Cricetulus griseus: one gene and its partner. The protein of the gene in region 1 binds, or shares a complex with, the protein of each later gene. Links are inferred from orthologs where the notes say so. Each region holds a gene or a part of one and is shown in the gene's direction. Other genes may lie near its edges. The genes, in order: Atp2a1 and Sln.

The links.
Region 2: the proteins of Atp2a1 (region 1) and Sln are in contact, whole or in part, in a crystal structure (PDB 3W5A), measured with the Oryctolagus cuniculus proteins. The link is inferred for Cricetulus griseus from reciprocal best matches to the Homo sapiens genes ATP2A1 and SLN. Residues at the interface, in XP_069919846.1 of Oryctolagus cuniculus: Phe88, Val89, Leu96, Ala100, Ile103, Val104, Trp107, Arg110, Asn111, Asn114, Arg324, Lys328, Trp794, Leu797, Gly801, Leu802, Thr805, Ala806, Phe809, Trp932, Ser936, Leu939, Leu943, Leu946, Ile947, Val950, Pro952, Leu953, Ile956; in NP_001075856.1 of Oryctolagus cuniculus: Met1, Glu2, Arg3, Ser4, Thr5, Arg6, Glu7, Leu8, Leu10, Asn11, Phe12, Val14, Val15, Thr18, Val19, Leu21, Ile22, Trp23, Leu25, Val26, Tyr29.

Annotation. Positions count from the first base shown.
Region 1 is NC_048596.1:74,326,740-74,330,555, forward strand, and holds part of Atp2a1 (sarcoplasmic/endoplasmic reticulum calcium ATPase 1), read left to right. Parts: 5' UTR 1-271; coding exon 272-389; intron 390-663; coding exon 664-681; intron 682-1,001; coding exon 1,002-1,084; intron 1,085-2,427; coding exon 2,428-2,532; intron 2,533-3,481; coding exon 3,482-3,620; intron 3,621-3,816. UniProt on the Homo sapiens protein: Key regulator of striated muscle performance by acting as the major Ca(2+) ATPase responsible for the reuptake of cytosolic Ca(2+) into the sarcoplasmic reticulum.
Region 2 is NC_048597.1:165,582,276-165,585,073, forward strand, and holds Sln (sarcolipin), read left to right. Parts: upstream 1-1,586; 5' UTR 1,587-1,649; coding exon 1,650-1,745; 3' UTR 1,746-2,103; downstream 2,104-2,798. UniProt on the Homo sapiens protein: Reversibly inhibits the activity of ATP2A1/SERCA1 and ATP2A2/SERCA2 in sarcoplasmic reticulum by decreasing the apparent affinity of the ATPase for Ca(2+). Also inhibits the activity of ATP2A3/SERCA3.

The DNA of each region.
Region 1 (3,816 bases):
CAGCCAGCCAATCCCTGATCTGGAGGAAGGGGGAGCCTGGCCCCCCCACTCCCTCATAAGGACCAGCTGGGGGCTGGGGGGGTGGCCGGCTGCTGCAAGTGGGACTGGGGTCAGAACTTCGTGGAAGGAAGAAGAATCTGGGGGGGGCAGGCAAGAAAAAGGAAGAAGCCTAGATCATCAGGCAGGTGGACACACTGAAGAAGTCCCCCCTCCAGTGAGAGGCCCCTAAGAAGGAATACATCGCCCCCCTGGCCCCCAAGAAGGGAGCACAATGGAGGCCGCACACTCCAAGTCCACAGAGGAATGTTTGTCCTATTTTGGGGTGAGCGAGACCACAGGCCTTACCCCAGACCAAGTTAAGCGGCATCTGGAAAAATACGGCCCCAATGGTAAGTATCCCTTAGAGGAGAGGCTGGTGTGGCTGCCCTCCCATGCCCATTAGTGGGAACGGCTTCCTCTGGGGTCTGTAGGGACAAGTAGGGCAGAAGGAAGATACTAAAGAAAACAGTTTTATGATCTGGAGTTTGGGGAGGTTTTCTAGGTGACCTTGAACTTCAGATGCCCTTTTGATAGCTGATTCTCTTAGATGCAAAGTTCAGGGTGTGGGAGACATGAGGCTGGACCCCTACTAAATTTGTCCTTTTCTTCTTTTTCCCTGGGTAGAGCTCCCTGCTGAGGAAGGTAAGTTATCTGAGCCTTGAGCCCTCCTGAGTGATACTTCTGTGTGTTCATCCCCGCTCCCTGCCTTCTCCAGATGCCCCTCCCCAGAGCTTGGTGTCAGACATCTCCAGATGTTTCTTCCTTGGAACTTCCCACCCTTGAACAATTGCTACAGATTTGAAGGGCCTTTTTGGCTGTTTCATCTCTTTCTCTCATGTCAAGCTGGGCTGCCCATTAACCCAGAGGTCCAGGGCACTCTATAGACTCTAGACCCTAGCCCATCCAGAGCCACAGACCTTCATCTTTTGGATCTTAATTCCTCTTCTTGCCTCTTCCCCCAGGCAAGTCCCTGTGGGAGTTGGTGGTAGAGCAGTTTGAAGACCTGCTGGTGCGGATCCTTCTCCTGGCTGCCTGCATTTCCTTCGTAAGTCTGGGGGCTGTCTGAAGAGTGGTGTCGGACTTGTGATTGATTGGCTGTGCCTCTTACCATCCTTGATGCCCTGGTCCAAGCCCTAAACACCCTATTTTCCATGCTGGAGCTGGGGGTGGGGTGCTGGTTTGCTTCCCTCCCTGCAGAGAGGTTTTATTTTAAGCCCTGAGAGTGTTCTCAGCCAAAACACTGAAGCTAAGCCACCCTCCCAGCTTCAAGGGCTTCAAGGGCTCAGGTTACCCCCTAAGCACAGGACTCCCAGCTTCGATGTGTCCACTTGGGGGTCACTACCACTCCTTGCCTGTCCTGGTTGGTCCCCACTTTGCTTCACCAATCCTTCCCTACCCTCTACAGCCTGTGATGCTGATTGGCCAAAAGAGACTTGCTTAGAGAGGTGGGGAAGGTGCTACTGGTACAGTGGTAGCTGCCAGGATGCCTTCCAGTCTCTACAACCCCCACACCCCACCCCTCAACTGTCTTCAGGCTTCACTACATCCTACTTCCATTAGGGGCTGGCACTTGGTGCCTACATCTCTTTATCCAGCCTGAATCATCCTTACCTTTTAGTGTCCCCAGCCCCCTCAGAGCCTTAGCTATCCCATCTCCTTGTTACATCTCCAGTGTTCACAGCCCCAGCTGCTGGCTCCTGTCATCCACCATCCCAGCAGTCTGTCTTACATTTTAGAATTTCTTTAGCATCTTAGCTGGAAAATAAGGTCTAAGAGGCCAAATAAATAAATAAATAAATAAATAAATAAAAATAAAGCATCTATGGAGGCCTCATGCACTCTGAGTCTAAGCTGGCAGCTCCCTTCTCTCTCCTCAGATTTGCTCCTTGACATTTGCCTGTGGCTGCTGCCTGGCAGTGGCAACAGCTGGGGTGGGGTGGGTGCTGGAGGCCTGTAACCCTACTCCCCTCCTGTTCTCTCATGAAATTGGAGCTTCCATGCCTTGGTGGTAAGGGAGGGCTGTGGGTGGGCTGGGCTCTTTGGGGACCATAGGGATTTTCCCGTTGGGCTTGGGTTCTTGTGGGGATAGATGTTGCTGTAGGGGTAGTTGACCCTGGGTGTTCCCGGCAGGTTTGCTTACAAGCCAACAATTTGGTCAGGGATACCTGAAAGCATTCCCAGTGAATCCTCAAGTGTGTGTCTGTACTGCCTATTTGCACACCATCACAAGGATGAATGGGTATTGTGTGCTCAGCGCCTGCAGTGTGAAGAACCTCACACTTGTATACATCGTCTGACATCTGCAGCAGTCTTAAGAAGCTTTCCAGTTCCTTTCTTTAGTCATTTGGGGGCTTTGTTACCACCTGCTATTCTCCCTTCCCCTCTCAGGTGCTGGCCTGGTTTGAGGAAGGCGAAGAAACTGTCACTGCCTTTGTCGAACCTTTTGTCATCCTCTTGATCCTCATTGCCAATGCCATTGTGGGGGTTTGGCAGGTTAGTTTTGACCCCTTCTCCCCACTTGTGTCTCAACACTGGGCGAGGGGCCAAGCCGCCTTCCAATTTCCCCTTCCTTCATCATTTCCCCTAGCTTTCCCCACTCCTCTGTCTTCTCATAGGACTAGAAAGCTAGGTGTGGTGGGACACACCTACAGCACTCCAGAGGCAGAAGCAAGAGACTCTCAAATTCTAGGCTAGCCTGGACTACAATGTAAAATTCTGTCCTAAAAAAAAAACAACAAAAAAACCCACCACCACCAACAAAAGCTATGCAAGGTTGAACATACTAATAATCCCACCACGAGGAGAAAGGAAAGGGGATGGAGTCAGATGTATTGACACACACCTTTATTCCCACAGTTGCAGGGGTAGAGACTGGTGGACCTCTGTGAGTTTGAGGCTAGCCTGGTGTAGAGAGTACATTGAGAATTCCAGGCCAGGCAGGGCTACATAGAGAGCCCCTATTTAAAAAAGAAATAGGAAAGAAAAGAAAAGGAAAAACAATGACTGTGTTTCTCAGGATTGATGCAATTGAAAAAGAACATGAAAGTTCAAGGCACATAGTAGGTACTAAATAAATAACTAGTTTTGATTTCCTTCTTCCTCTGACATTATCAGTTTACTTTTCTTGTCCCTTGCTCTCGGTTTTTTTTTTTTTTTCTTTTTAAAATTCCTTTCCTCTTGGTCCAAACCTTTCTCACTTGTTTTTAGCCACTGGCAATATATTCTACAGCAGACACACCCCTGCTGTGATGTGGGGTTCTGTGCACCTTTTGTGCCAGCTGGACTTGGATAAGCCAGCCTTTTCTGCAATGTCCTTACTTCTGCTAGGATCATAATACTGGTTCCTCTGTCTGCACATCCCTTACTCTTCCTGCATGTACCCAGACCAGCCTCCTGCGGGACCAGGACCATCCTCTCTCTCTGACTCCACTTTTTTCCTCAGGAACGGAATGCAGAGAACGCCATTGAGGCTTTGAAAGAATATGAACCTGAGATGGGGAAGGTCTATCGGGCTGACCGAAAGTCAGTGCAAAGAATCAAGGCTAGGGACATTGTCCCTGGGGATATTGTGGAGGTGGCCGGTAAGTGCTGGGATGGATGGTCCAGGAGGGAAAACTTGGGTCTGAGGCCAAGAAGAGAGCAGGGTGCCCATTAGCCCTGATTCTTTATCTGTGAGGATGGTGTTGTCTTTGCTTCTCCTTCCCAGACTCCTCAGGGGTCACTCCAGGACATTCAGGCCACAGCACCCCTCCCCAGTAGAGTCTCAATAGGAACAGC
Region 2 (2,798 bases), on another chromosome or scaffold:
ACATTGCCTATGATCTTGGAGTAGACTTTCCTGCACGTACAATCTGTATGCATGCTAAAGATACCATCTCTGCTGTCTGAAATGTTTACAATCTAGGCACATCCTGAGCTTGACTAAAAATAGCTGGCACAAGCTCTTGTTGAAACAGAAATGCTCATGAGGTTAACACTTGTTCTTTGGATTGAGTACCTGTTGTGCGAGGGACTTCTAGTTGACCTCTACAGGCTTTGTGCCAGAGTAGGCTTGTACAAAGCCATGCAGCTGTTGGAGCTACTTTATTCTTTCACCAGGGTTGGATGAAGACCTAGGGCAGTTTTAAATCTGAACGATGATGTTATATGTGATCCAAAGAAAGAGCAATACTAAACTATATTTTTCCCCTGTTTTGGTGTCCCTGCTTGCAGATACTCCAAACAGCAAAGTTAACACATGACATGAAGATGAAGAGAGAAAAATGCAATATTTTATTACTTACCTAAAACAATGCAATTAATACAGGATAAAAACATTGGTCTTAGGATGACAGCAGGAAGAGAAACTAGGCTATTTGTATGCATCCATGCTCTTCAGAGAAGCCCAGATAACTCTGTCTGTCTGTCTGTCTGTGTATGTTTGAGAAATTGATTCATATCATTTGAAGGTTGGCAAGTTCAAAATACTCAAGGTAAGTTGCCAGGCTGTAGCCTCAGAGAGGAGTGGAAACTTAACTTCAAATGAAATCTGAGGTCACATGTTGGGGACCAGGGTATCAGCAAGGCTGGTTCCTTCAAGGCTTTTCTCCTTGGACTGAGAATGGCCATCATTTCTGTTTCTGCAATGTCTTCCCTCTGTAATGGGTCTGTGTCCTAACCTCCTCTCCTTCAGACATCAGTCATACTGAATTAGTGCCCACTAGTAACTGATCTAGTTTGCTTCTCTTCCCGTGGTAAAACACTGACCAAAAACAACTTGAGGTGAAAGGGTTATTTGTAACTTACAGGTATAGTCCATCCTGGAGGAAAGCCACAGCAGTGTCTCAGGGCAGGAACTCGGAGGCAGCAAGTGGAGCAGAGACTGTGCTGGTTATTGACTTGCTTCCTCTGGCTTGCTCAATTACCTTTCAGTTTTACCTTATGTTTTCTTTTTAAAGATTTATTTTTATTGTTTAATATTTATTCTTATTATTTTAATTATATGCATTTGTTTGTGTGTGGGGGGGGTATGTGTACATAAATGTAGGTGCCCAAGGAGATCAGAGGCATCAGATCTCACCAGAGCTAGACTTCTAGGCAGTTGTGAGCCTCCTAAAATGGGAGGAATTATTCAGTTGAGGTCCTTTTCCCCAGCTGGTTCTAGGTTTATATCAAGTTGATGCTGAAGCTAACTATGACAGTGACCGCATATTAGCTTAATTACCTCTGGGAAGACCTCATCTCTAAACACAGTCACATTCTTAGGTCTTGGGGAATAGGATTTCAATGTGTAAGTTTGGGGGGAAGGGTTGGAGAAGTCAGCACAAATACTTCATTTTTCTCTGAAGGAAGACTGGACAGCTTCCGGGCACGCTCACTTATCTCCCATGTTGTCTTTCTTATTTTGTTAGGAAGCAAGGACAAGCCGGAGGTTCTTGGTGTGCTCTCAGAAGTCTGCCTGGAGTTCTCACTCAGAAGATGGAGCGGTCTACCCAGGAGCTATTTCTCAACTTCACAGTTGTCCTGATCACCGTTCTCCTTATGTGGCTTCTCGTGAGGTCCTACCAATACTGAGGGGCCATGCTGCACTTCTGGGAGTGACTGCTGTGTGCCCCGAGCTTCCACTGCTGTTACTGTCATGGGATGCTATTCTTGGTACCACACCATCTCTGACCCGCACTCACGATGCCTGACACTGTTGTGTGTTTTCTAAAGATGCTGTCCTTGTGGGCTGCCAAAAGCTTGTTAGCCAGTGAGCCTTAGGCTTGTTCCCTAGTAAATGCACGATTCAGGCCACCAGGTTAAAATTAAACTGTATTCCTGATGATGCAGAGCAACAACAATGTCTGGTCTGTGTCAACACACATCCCCCAACCCACCCTGTCTGCCACCGAACTAACTCAACCCTTCAGAAGAAATGTACACGGAAGTCTTTGCCAGTCCCTTGAGTTCTCATGTGAATAAAGTTAAGCCACTCATGAAAACGGCTTTTAGAATTTATTTTAGCTCCTGTGTGACCCTTGGCTGGGACTGAAGTGACAAATAGCACATTATTTCTAGCATTTGAGATTAGCCAGGATGCTCCAGCTGCCTAGGATCTGAAAGCAAGACAAGCCAGGGTGTCCCATTTCAAATGATTCCATTGCTTCTCAAACCTTTCCTCTGCTAATCCTACGGCCAGAGGGAGAATGACTACAGCCTGCTAGAGTCTTGGGTCAGAGCCTAGAGTGCCTGCTAAAAGCATAGAATTCCTCTTAAGTCTTGTGCTTTCCCCCATAGCTTTCACAAGAAATGGGCTCAGGAGGTGATTCACTCAGTAAAGCCCTTACTTTGTAAGTTCAAGGGCCTGAGTTTAGACTCTCAAGAGCCATGTGAAAGCCCAGGACAGTGGTGTGAGCTTGTAATTCCAGGTATGGGAAGATAGGAGGCAGAGACAGCTAAGACAGGTCCTGGAAACTTTCTGGCTGGCCAGACTAGCCTACTTGACCAAGTTTCACACCACGAGGGACCCTCTAAAAACAGATGGGGAGGCACCTGAGGTATGACACCTGAGGTTGTTCTCTAACCTTCCCATGCATGTGCACAGATGTTCATGCACACACCTGCATATATAAGTGTACCCCAACA